2 linked regions of the Danio rerio genome follow. Each later gene encodes a partner of the first gene's protein in a complex. Links are inferred from orthologs where the notes say so. Each region holds a gene or a part of one and is shown in the gene's direction. Other genes may lie near its edges.

Region 1 (6,439 bases):
AGCAGGTTTGACGTATGAAGGCCAGTTGATCAGCATTCTGCGCTACGGACCAAGAGAGGTTACTCGGTTTGACTTCACCACCACATATGGCTCTCGTATGTAGCTTTACATATGTATTATCTTTACTCCCTTTTCTTCAGTAATTTCCAAAAAGAAAAACAACTTCAAACAACTTCTTGTTCTCCAGTGGCCAAAGCAGAGGGTGAGACCACCCAGCCTCGACAAGTAGTGGACACCTCAGAGTCTGTTACTGAAATTACCTCCAACAGCTTTGTCATCTCCTGGGTATCTGCATCTGACACAGTGTCTGGATTTAGAGTTGAATATGAACTCTCAGAAGAAGGAGCTCAGAAACGTGTGCTTGGTGAGTACAGTTGAAGATATTCCATTGATAACAAAATGAATAGGAGAAATATCAATACTCTACAACCACTATGAAGATCATGGATATATACACTAGATATCGCATAGGAACCCTGAGCATGCGTCAATAGCGCCGCCACATTGGTACAGTGCTCCCGGGACAAGTGTCATTCAACCGCACTAGTCAAGACAGTGTTATTACGTCAAGATGCGGGACTTTAGCGCTGTCTACGGGTGTAGTAACGAGCAAACAAACAAAACAAAGCGCAAAGGCAGAACGTTTCATTGGTAATATTAATTTTTTTTCTGTTTTTGTTTGTTCTGAACTTTTGTGCTAATCAGGTCACGTTATTGATGATAACAGTCACTTACTGCATTCACCATATGGCAAAGCAGCACCAACTCGCACTAAACACTTGGCTTATGCTAGTTTTGTTTAATAAAATCAGCAAACAATGCAAAAGAAATTTGAAAACGAGATGCTGCGCTGCCAGAAACTTGTCGGCTAACGTTAGTGAAAGAGTCGTTCGGGGGATTCATTCACAAACGAGTCGCTCCCTTTGTCAGTATGGGAAGTGAAAGCAGGAGAGGAGGTGTGTTTCAGGACACGGATTAGATTAAATTTAACAGGGAGGGTGAATAGTACATTTCTGTACACACAAGCTTTTTGTCAGGAATGCCCGTGCGGTCACTGATCCATCAATGTAGAAAAGTGATGTAAAATTATAATTTTCGTAATTAGAAAAAAAAATACATACTAACATCCAGGAAAACTCCCGATCATAGATATATGTGTATATCTCTGGCTTTGGGTGGCCACAGTCCTCCACTGTACCTTGGTCCCGCATTCATTTTAAAGGAGCGCTACCCTGTAGCAAGATGGCGGCGCTTTTGACGCATTCCGTCCAATAGACAACAGTAGGCCAGGCGACATCTAATGTATATATCTATGAATAAAGATGGCAGTAGCTGTCTGCAGCTCTCACATGGTCACCCATTACAGCCAAGTAGGGTTGTGTCCGGATAGTACCTCGATGGGATACTACATGGGAAAACTAGATTACAGCCAGAAGAGGTGCTCGTGAGGCCAGTAGGGGGTGCTTACTCTGTGTGGATCCTATTGCCCCAGTATAGAGCCGAGAGACTAGATTGTCAGTGTACTATCCTTCGGAGGTCCTGACTCTCTGTGGTCATTAAAATTTCAAGGATGTCCTCTGAAATAAATAGGAGTGTGTCCCTGGTATCTTGGCCAAATTTGCCCAGTGGCCTCTGTCCATCATGGCCTCTTAACTATCCACATATTATCTAACTGACTTCATGGCTCCTCTCCATCAATAAGTTCAGAATGCACTGACTGGCTGCTGTTGTGTCTTCCAGGTGGATGCTGCACACTGATGATAGTTGTGGATATCTCCAAAAAAAAAATCTGTAAAGTGCTTTGAGTCCCCTGAAAAGTGCTATATAACTGCAACAAAATATTAATATTATTAATCAACAAGATGACTGTGAGACATTTTTTGCTTTAGAAAGCCTATTATGACTAGCTCGTCCAATGATAATTTTGGCTAAAGAATCCATTTGTGATGTCATTTTTGTCAGATTAGAATCAATTCAATTTAGTTTGATTTGCTCTGGTATGTTAAATAAAAAGGTTACATCCTTTTCTCACGAAAATGATGGCATTCAATATATTGTATAATTTCTCAATTTGTCCCCATTGTGCAGACCTCCCAAGAACAACTACATCAGTGAACATTCAGGATCTTCTGCCTGGCCGTAGGTACAACGTTGATGTTTATGAAGTCAATCCAGAAGGAGATACAAAACTCATCCTGACTACAACTCAAACCACTGGTAAGATCACTGTATGTAGTGTCTTAGTTCCTGCTTACAACAGCAAAACCTTTTTGATTGTTCAAAATTATATGTACTACACTTTTTAAAGATTCACATTTTAACCAGCCGTCAGAATGTGCCTTCAAATGAATCTCCTATCTATTCACAGCACCTGATGCTCCAACCAATCATGAGGTCTCAAATGTCCAGGAGACCTCCATTGTGATCAGATGGTCCAAACCCAAAGCACCCATTACTGGTATAAGATATGCAAACCAACATTTGGGATTTAAGAATGTCTTATAAAGTTGTCTTTTGAGCATGGTGTATTGGAATGTGGAATGAACTCTTTTTCAGGCTATCGTGTGGTGTACACACCCTCAGTCGAGGGCAGCAGCACTGAGCTCATCCTCCCTGAGACTCAGACATCGGTGACACTGGGTGACCTACGACCTGGCCTGTCATACAATATCAGCATTTACTCAGTGGAAGACAACTTGGAGAGCGAACCTTTGGTCCTGCAGGCAAGCACAGCTGGAGAGCAACAGCCCGGTAAGAGCTCCTTTTATGGAGAAGAGATTTTTCATTTTTATAGCTTTCTGCTGTTTCAGTTAGCCTGTTTGTCAAAATATTCTCCACTCACACGTTCCTAGTATTTTATCTCTGCATTAAGTTCAAAGAGCTATTATTAAGAGAATTTTACTAACTTTTCTCAAAGCTGGTAAAAATGCCCAAGTTTCTCACTCATGTGTAAAAATGTCTGTTCACAGTGAGAGCTGGCACTAGCAAATGTCTGAGCTGGGAGATTTAGAGCTTACTCAGGGCCAAAACAACCTTATAAGGATAACCAAGTTTCAAGTGTGTCTTTGGGGGCTCAAATGTCCAGTTGATGTCTTTTTAACCAAACACATGCTACTTTATGGGAACTGTGAAGTGGTTTCTTCCGTGAATGATCTTGTTTTCCATCTTAAAGCTCATACTCTACTATTTTTAAACAGTGCAAAAGCATACAGTGAAGATTTAGATGTTCCAGATTCAATTAATATTTTGTTGTATGAAATAAGCCTCACTATTTCTCTTGCTATGGTTAGGGATTTTCAACAGACCCTTAACCCAAGGTATACAAGTTCAAACACTAGTGGTGCAATGGTTCAATCAACTTATGTATCACACAACTATGTATCACAGTTTTAGGGTCCTGGTTTGATACGGTATGGTATCTGCTATGTTTAGAAAAAAAAATGGCTACAGAAAAATTCAAAGAAAAATGTACATATTTCTTGGGTAACAAACACCTGATAATGCAGCAGGATTCTGCAGCAAATTCTCTCAATTAAATAAAAGTAGGGATTAAATTTTGGAAATTTTATCTTTAAAAAAAATGCTTAAATTTCCCCTCAGTCTCAACCAATATGCAGATAATAACTGTGTTAACACATCTTAATAATTAAGCACTTTTAGAGTATTGATTACTTCCGTTTACATTATGGCCACATTACCAAGGTAACAATGCATTTTTATCAATAATGATTACAGAGAGCTCTATTATCGCTTATCAGCACCATCATAGTGAATGAAACTTAAGCAAAAAGAGAGCATTCGGCTTTTCTCACTTAATTCGGCGGGAACAGTTAGTCGAGAAAAAAAACTTTTCTAAGCAGACAGCGGGAAAACAGAGTAAATAAATATTAGGAGCAATCTGTTTGGAATAACCCAGCGGGGGCGTGACTGAAGTAACAGACCTGCTCCATGTCTGGGTCCGCATGGGACACTTCTGGGTCTGGACACCGACCCCTGATCTAGGGTATATTTGGCATTCTTTTTTTTGTGTGTGTCTCAATTTACATTAAGTGTCTGTTGAAACACTGATGGCAATGTGCTGTGGTCTCAGCTGCACTTTAGCGCCATGTGTTGTGCTGAACTCTCAGAAACTCCAAATACACATTGATATGTTAGGAAACATGATGTCAACAACAGATTTACATACTAAGATTTGATTGTAAGGTCTTCGCACGTGCAATACATGTGAAAGGTAACCAGAAGTGTACAAAGGGGGAGCGTTTTTGCTTTGTTGCAGCTGTTTTTATGAAGAAACTAAACATTAATAATGCATATTCTGAACTGCGGATCACAGGGCGAACTGAACTGTGGGAGGACAATAGGATGATTAGATTTTTTTTTACAGAGAACCATTGCATTCCTACCAAACCCTGCTACAAATTTTGTTCCCAGAACGTTCTGAGGACAACACCTAGTAAAGTTTCCAGAATGTAATGATCATGAGAGTTTTCTTTAAAGGGTTGGCGAACATTCATGATTCTGGAATTCATCAAATTTGGAAAAATGACATTTCCAGGATGTCCTCTCTTATTTGGAAAAGTTATTCTTCTACTTTCCTTTGTAGTAGAGTGCTAAAAGATTGCTATTTTGTTTTCCATCTTATCAACAGAGGAAATCCAAGCTCCCACAGACCTGCAGTTTTATGAGGTTACCGATGTCAAGATCACTATCACCTGGACTGGTCCTCCTAATGAGGTCTCAGGATACCGTGTGACTTTTGCACCCGTAAGCACAGATGGCCAGGCCCAGAGACCCCTTCAGCTTCCTGTGACACACAATGCTTATGCGGAGCTCATGCGCCTTCAGCCTGGCACACTCTACCGTTTCCATATTTATGCAGTCAGCGGAGGAGTGGAGAGTGAACCTCTGATCGGGGAGAAATCTACAAGTGAGTGTTTGAGTTTTCCAAAAGATCTTACATTTCGTTATTATTATGTCTATATCATCACAACATTCTCCTTCCTCAGAGCCTGATGCCCCTACTGACTTGCGCTTCACTGATATCACCGATGACAGCGCTCTGGTCATCTGGTCTTTCCCCAGAGCTCAGGTCACAGGTTATCGTCTCTTCATCAGCATCGGCAGCTCCAGTCCCAAACAGCTGAGAATTCCTGGCCACAAGTCTCAATACAAGCTCCCCAACCTTCAGCCTGACACCGAGTATAGAGTCACCCTGCACTCAGAGCAAGGAAACACTCTTAGCGAAGGAATTACTGATACTTTCAGAACAAGTGCGTAACCTTTTCTTCTGAGGCGAAACAAGTGCAGTAATGTTCTTCTGTGCCCTTAGAGAAGTATACTCTAATTTGCTTGTTTTTCAGCTCAGCCCACGGGTAATGCTCCTCGATTCAACACTGAAGTCACTGACACTGCTATCATCGTCACCTGGATCCCTGTTGCAAAATTCAGTTACAGGGTATAAAAGCTTTATGAACAATTCGTTAGTTGACACATCTATGGCTAGGAACTATACTCTCTGTGGTGTAATACGCAAGGAACTTTGCTGCTGTACCATGCCTGTAGCAGGTGCAACCATATTATATAGATTCTGTTGGTGCAAGTGTAAGGCCCAATCCCAATTCTATTTTTGTACCCCTAGCCCTTCCCCTTGGCCCTTAAAACCAAGGGTTAAGGGGAAGGGCTTCAAAATTTACCCCTAAGAATTGGGACAGCACTACAGCACCTGCACACGTCATCATACGTCATCATGATCTCTTGCTTGATATGAGATCAGATGATCACGACTGCTGTAGTTTTTTCGAAGGAGTCGAAATTTAACATTTAGCTTTTTTTTTTTTTTTACACGACGGTAAAAAACGAACGCAGTTATGAATATATTAAAACTTGTGTTTGTTTGTGTAAAAATTCATAATAATGACAAAAAAATACTAATTTGTGGATCTTACTTCCGGGTGCAGCTGTGGCTGGTGTATTCTGGCAAATTTTCTTACCCCTTGGTTTCGAGTGTGGTCTTGAAAAATCTTCATTTAAAGGAGTGTATACCCCTTGCCCTTAAGGCTGATTTATACTTCTGCGTCAAACGCCGACGTATGCTACGGCGCTGACGTGCACCTCACAAAAAATGTAACTACACCTCGCAATGACGCGTAGCGTAAGCTCTGTGATTGGTCGGCTTGGTAGCGCTGACGAGTCTGGGTGGGACCGAGAGCCGCGTGCATGGTGCAAGCCTGACGGAGCGATTGTTTACAAGTGTGGAGTCCCGTGAAGGAGCTCTGGATGAAAAGTTTTGATCTGTGTTTACCTCATAGTTAAAGTTGTTGCACGTCCGCCGGTTCCTGGCTCAAAATGAGCGAGTTTGAGCCACTTGTACATCCCGGAAGTGTTCAGGAAAAGCAAAACAACAGCGAAGAAACTTGACACAGAGGAACATTAACACCTC
Region 2 (6,439 bases), on another chromosome or scaffold:
CTATTACTGATATATATATATATATATATATATATATATATATATATATATATATATATATATATATATATATATATATATATATATATATATATATATATATATATACATATATACATATATAGGAAATTCTTTTTGTATCTGTATGTTGTTTTTCAATTAACAACATACTTTAAAACAAAATATAGATGCAAAAGAAAGAAAAAGAAATAAATAGAAAAGCAATATTTTATAGTATGAAATGATGTAAAAGCTGTTTAAAAATATATATATTGCTTGATTATTTCACATTTTAAAAATGTAGTGTTATACATTCCATGCAAATCAAACGCTATTGGCTATTTTTTTAAAGGGGAGGAGCTACTCTATGCCCCTCCCTGTCTTTGTCAGACATCACACAGTACTGCACATTTCAAAGCACTTCACAGCACCTTTAAATATAAACAACTACAGTAGTTTCTGTTTACTTGTAATGAAATACAGTAGAGTAATGTTGTAAATGTCTCCCGTAGGGTGACCGAGGTTTCCCTGGTGAGCGTGGGTCCCCTGGACCTGGTGGCCCAACCGGCCCTCGTGGAGCCCCTGGATCCCCTGGTAATGATGGTGCAAAGGTAAGACTCCTGTTTCAATAACATAATGAGATATATATTTGTATTCCCGTCATCAGTACTAAAAAATTAAATAAATAAAAATAATAACTTGACATAGAATTTAAATATCGGAACTCTCTAGGAATTTAAAGGGATAGTTCACCCAAAATTGAAAATGTACTCAATATTTACTCTCCTTCAAGTGGTTTTGTTCGTCTAAAAACAAAAGAAGATAGTTTGACAATGTTGGTAACCTGTAAACATTGCCATCGATAGTTGGAAAAACAAATACTATAGAAGTCAATAGTCACCGGTTTCCAACATTTTTCTAAATATCTTCTTTTGTGATCAACAAAAAAACAGAACTCATAAAGGTTTAACACAAGTAAAGATTGTCCTTTTTGGGTGAGAGCTTGTAAGTTTATCTGGATAAAAGCATTTACAAAATTAATAAATGTATGGCAAATGTAAAATGCAGTACAGAGATGTCAGAGAAATAACCTGATGCTTTTTGTGTGTTCAGGGAGAGCCTGGTGCCGCTGGAGCCAACGGTGGTGTCGGACCCGCAGGGATGCAGGGAATGCCCGGAGAGCGCGGTGCTGGAGGAATGCCCGGAGCCCGAGGAGACAGAGTAAGATTATTACACTCATTCATCTGCAGCATTTTGACATTCTACCATCAGATATTTGTGCAAAATGATATCCGAGTTAGCGTTCATGAGTGTTGGGGATAGATGGATGGATAGATAGATAGATATAGATAGATATAGATAGATAGATAGATAGATAGATAGATAGATAGATAGATAGATAGATAGATAGATAGATAGATAGATAGATAGATAGATAGATAGATAGATAGATAGATAGATAGATAGATAGATAGATAGATACAAAATGCACATTATAGACTTAATTATATGTAGACTTTAGTTGTCCATCACATGTGTACACTGTAAAAAGTGTTTAGTTGATTTTACTTTTAAAAAGTGAGTAGACCCATTATCAATTATTAGGTAAATGTATGAAAAAGTATGTGCATAATTCTAAAAAATTAAGTTACATGAACTTAACATTTATAAATTACAACAGAACCAACATTTATTTAAGTAAAATCAATTAGTCACTTTTACGGTAATGGATTTACTCGTTTATTTTAAGTAATAGCTGTTTACAGTGTATAAATGGCCAATAATACATTGTAAAAACACAAAATTATATTGTTTTTAATTAGGTTTAGATCATGCTCCATGAAGATATTTTGAAAATTCCCTACAATTAATATGTCAAATATAATTTGTGATTAGTGATATGCTTTTCAAAGAACTTTAAAGGTGATTTTCTCAGTTGGGGTTTTAAAAATGTTCATATTCCAGATATTCATATAGATATATCGCAACTAAATATTGTCCTATCCTAACAAACCATACATAAATAGAGAACTGTAAAAGATTTATTGACCCTTATGACTGCTTTTGTTGCCCTTACTTAACCTAAATTGTCTTTTAATATTTCATCCAATGATTCTTGTTCTTAATATGACAGAACGTTTCGGTACATTTTCACCTATTTCAGTATAGCTTTATAAACAGTATTGATGCTGTGCTTTCTCTTTAGGGTGATGGTGGTCCTAAGGGTCCTGATGGTGCTCCTGGCAAAGATGGCGTGCGTGGCATGACCGGCCCTATTGGACCTCCTGGACCCAGTGGTGCTCCTGGTGATAAGGTAAAGACATATGAAACATTTATTAGATAGCATTGAAAGATTAACACCAATGTTGTCAAGCAATTACGTTTCAGCTTCAAAGTCATTTTAAATTGGTCACTTAATAAAAGGATAAAAGAATAATGTTGATACTAAATCAGCTTTGTATTTGGATGTGTTTTAGGGAGAGCCTGGTGCTGTTGGACCCCCAGGATTGACTGGACCTCGTGGAGGCCCTGTAAGTTATTACAGAAATTAAATATCTTGAAACATAGACATAAGGAGCAAAAGATAATGCTAACTTCCAAGCAGTTGCATGCAAAATGTATTAGCAGAATTAGCCTAGTGTATCATATTTGATCTACATTTTTAAGAATCTTTTGCACATAGTCTACTGCATGCCTTCTGATTTGTAAATCAGACTTTTATTTTGAAAATGGCACCTTTTTGCTCAGATTAAAATCAAGTATTTTTATTCTTATTTTTTTCATTATGTCACACTAGATAACCCGCAGAAGTCTAATGCATAAAATTTGAATAACTCAAACAAACATGCAAGCAATTTGTCATTTCTTTAGAGTTTATTAAATAAGTCATACAGGAGGTCCTGCTTCAAGCTTTGCACAGTATGTATGGGATTATATATAAACAATGTAGTGCATGTCACTGATGCATTTTGATTTTTGTCCTATCTCAGGGTGAGCGCGGTGAAGTCGGTGCTCCTGGACCTGCTGGTTTTGCTGGACCTCCTGTAAGTAAAGCAGTCTCTTCTCAATCATTTCCCACCATGAGGGGTTTCAATTTGAGGTTAACTATCTCTTCTCTTAATGCAGGGTGGCAATGGACAGCCTGGTGCTAAAGGAGAGACTGGAGACTCCGGACCCAAGGGTGACGCTGGAGCTCCTGGACCTGCTGGACCCGTTGGAGCTTCTGGACCACAGGTAATATCATCAGCATTAGAAGCAGATAAACTTTTTTTTTTGTTGGTGTTGATATAAGTGTTGTTAACTTATTGTTTGTTGTTGATAGGGACCTGCTGGTGCTACTGGACCTAAAGGTGCTCGTGGTGGTGCTGGACCTCCTGTAAGTGTGTTTTTACGCACTATTTATTGCATTATTACAATTTATTACACACTAAAAAGAACAATTTTACTTTCACTACCAAGTTATTCAGTGTTTTTTATTAAATTGTAATTTTAATAATGTATTTTTTTATTATTATGTCAGTTTTTTTTTTTTTTTTTGCTTATTTCTAGTGTTGTTTTACCTATTTTAGTATGTTATGTTGTAATATATATATAGTTACTTTTTTATACTAGATCCTCCACATTATACGTATCCATATAAAATTAAAACAGAATATTTGCTTTCATAATTATAGAATACAAGTTATGTATATATATATATATATATATATATATATATATAATTTTTTTTTTTTTTTTTCCTCTCCTTGGTCTACTTACACAATACACAGTTTTCTGAGAAAGTAATAAAAATAAATTTTAAAAAAGTAAATAAAAAAGAATAGTTTAGAATTACAGAATATATACGTAAACTCAAATAATATATACAAAATATATACCTAAACTCAAATAATATAATAGTTTTTAAAATTAAGACTATCATTTATTTTTGTTGTTTAGATTACTATTAGTATTATTATTAGTTGTAGTAGTATTAGCATTAGTATTAGTATTATTATGATATTAATTAACTAAAATTAGCCTCACACTTAAAATGCATGACTTTCTTTGCAAAAAAATATACATGTTTTGTTTCGTAAACTATGCATTTCTGACATTTTATGATATCAAATGATATGTAATGCAATCATAATAATTTTTAAATCTCTTTTTGGCATCATTTTCCCCACAAAATGCTATTGCAGTGTGTCTTTCAGGTTGTTTTATAGCAGTCTGTTCGTGTTTTTGTTTTATTAGGGTGCTACTGGTTTCCCTGGTGCTGCTGGTAGAGTCGGACCTCCAGGCCCCTCAGTAAGTATTATTCATTCTAAGCCAGGTCTAAATCCGGCTTTGCCAAAAATAGAGTGCTAAAAATAGCGATTGCAAAAATACAGCTTATAAATTTAAATAGTAAAATATTTACTTTACTTTTTTATGTGAATTTCATGTGGCCACTAGAAAATAGACATATTGTAAACTTGTGAATATGATATAAAATAAAGGGGTCGGCTTGCAAAATATATTTGTGAATCTCTGATTTAAGCAAATGTTTATGACTGACTTCATACTTTATGTAGCATTACTAGCTTCTCTTAGTCTTTGTTTTTTTTTTTTACTTTAGATTAATTTAATTTAATGCCTTCTGTTTGTCAATCTCAGGGTGCTTCTGGACCCCCTGGACCTACTGGTCCTGCTGGTAAAGAGGGACAAAGAGGAGCCCGTGGTGAGAAGGGACCCGCTGGCCGTCCTGGAGAGGCTGGAGCTGCTGGACCCCCAGGACCCTCCGGAGAGAGGGGTAGCCCTGGTCCCGATGGTCCTCTTGTAAGTAATCATATTTCCAACACTTCCAATATTGTCATTATACAGCTTAGTTTGGCTTAATGTTAATTCAGTTTAGTTCAATGACAAGATCAGCTTTAAATTCAGCTAAAGTTCATTCAGTTTGTTTCACAAATGTTTATATATTGCAGATAGAGGATATTACAATGATTACAGATTTTGTTGGTGTGATTATTGTCTGAGGAATAATCACAGTTTCAAGGTTAACAGGATTACTATACATTCATTAATTTTATAACACTATTATTTCATAAAATGACATGAAAACTACACAGTATATTAATAACACACAATAGAGTCAATTTCTCTCCTTAAAATAAAACTTTTTGACATTAACAACTAATAATTTCATTTATTTAACTGAAAATAACTAGCAATCAAAATAAAAATCTGTTTGGAATTAAATATACGAGACATAAATCTAACAAATGTAGATAAATGTAATCTAGAAGCCTTTTTTAATCTACTGCATTACAACATTGTTCTGTATTTTAATTTTGTGCATTTTTTCTAGATCTTTTAGCACCCAAATAATAATAAAAAAAACTCTAGCTACCTTTTGACTTCAACGATATACTTGCCTTTTGAAAAATACAGTACAATGAACATAAATAAAGCAACGAAACAAGGTCCACATCTCTGGAATTTAATAATTTCATTTCATGCAACAGAAATGCAGTAAAGCTAAGCCTTTACAGTTGATTAACCATGATGAATCAAAGCACAATTAATAGTGAAATTGGTTAATCACTGCATCCCTATTTGCAGTTAATCAATTATGAACCTATATCTGAACCGCTCAGATATCAATATGGTCATTAACCAGCTCACTATAGTTAAATTGTTGTTCATGCAATAGTGTCAGTGCAGTGCAAACACATGATGTCTTTGAATCTTAATGGTCTTTTATACCTCTTTCTTGTCTTTAGGGTCTCGCTGGAGCTCCTGGACCCCCTGGTGTTATTGGATCTCGTGGTATTGTTGGTCTTCCTGGACAGAGAGGAGAGAGAGGTTTCGGCGGCTTGGCAGGTCCTTCTGTAAGTACTCCGACAACAGATTTATATAGATATTAGATTTTATTTTAGGATTATTTGGATCTACATTAAAGTCAACATACAATCTAGATCAAGATATATTTTATGTATAATTTATTTATTTCACAGCTAAATAAATAATAACAAAAGAGAAACAAATAAAAGTAAATAATAGCATCTTTAAACTTAAAAACAACATGTCAATAGAACAAACTTGTTGGAGCCTCGCACAATATCAGAAAGGCTACTCCAGAGTTTTGGAGCCATATATGAAAAGGCTTGACCTCCTTTAGTGGACTTTGCTATTGTGGGTATACTACAAGAAGCCCTACAAGAGTTTTGGGATCTTAAAGAGCGGGTTGGATTGTAGAGAGAGAGAAGGTTGGTTGAGAACATTGAATTGGTTGAAAATTATAGCAATAGTAGGGTGGGACTTGACTTTGTCCAATTGTTTGATTGGTGGATCTCATGTGAGTGACAGTTTTATCCCGCCTTGTTGTGGGACCAAACACCAATCAGGGATGTTGGTGAAGAGACGGGGGAAGATATTACATTATAAAATACAGCCTAAGATAATACAACATGTT

What was found. The genes of interacting proteins can lie anywhere in the genome.
Region 2: the proteins of fn1b (region 1) and col1a1b are in contact, whole or in part, in a crystal structure (PDB 3GXE), measured with the Homo sapiens proteins. The link is inferred for Danio rerio from reciprocal best matches to the Homo sapiens genes FN1 and COL1A1. Residues at the interface, in NP_997647.2 of Homo sapiens: Asp516, Gln517, Lys533, His535, Glu537, His539, Leu541, Gly549, Arg550, Gly551, Arg552, Trp553, Lys554, Cys555, Pro557, Gln560, Phe569; in NP_000079.2 of Homo sapiens: Leu261, Pro262, Gly263, Met264, Lys265, Gly266, His267, Arg268.

What each region holds. Positions count from the first base shown.
Region 1 is NC_133176.1:6,922,167-6,928,605, reverse strand, and holds part of fn1b (fibronectin 1b), read left to right. Parts: coding exon 1-95; intron 96-187; coding exon 188-364; intron 365-2,088; coding exon 2,089-2,217; intron 2,218-2,368; coding exon 2,369-2,458; intron 2,459-2,556; coding exon 2,557-2,751; intron 2,752-4,648; coding exon 4,649-4,927; intron 4,928-5,006; coding exon 5,007-5,270; intron 5,271-5,360; coding exon 5,361-5,455; intron 5,456-6,439. UniProt on the Homo sapiens protein: Fibronectins bind cell surfaces and various compounds including collagen, fibrin, heparin, DNA, and actin. Fibronectins are involved in cell adhesion, cell motility, opsonization, wound healing, and maintenance of cell shape.
Region 2 is NC_133187.1:3,499,316-3,505,754, reverse strand, and holds part of col1a1b (collagen, type I, alpha 1b), read left to right. Parts: intron 1-512; coding exon 513-611; intron 612-1,113; coding exon 1,114-1,221; intron 1,222-2,206; coding exon 2,207-2,314; intron 2,315-2,477; coding exon 2,478-2,531; intron 2,532-2,990; coding exon 2,991-3,044; intron 3,045-3,126; coding exon 3,127-3,234; intron 3,235-3,322; coding exon 3,323-3,376; intron 3,377-4,236; coding exon 4,237-4,290; intron 4,291-4,638; coding exon 4,639-4,800; intron 4,801-5,747; coding exon 5,748-5,855; intron 5,856-6,439. UniProt on the Homo sapiens protein: Type I collagen is a member of group I collagen (fibrillar forming collagen).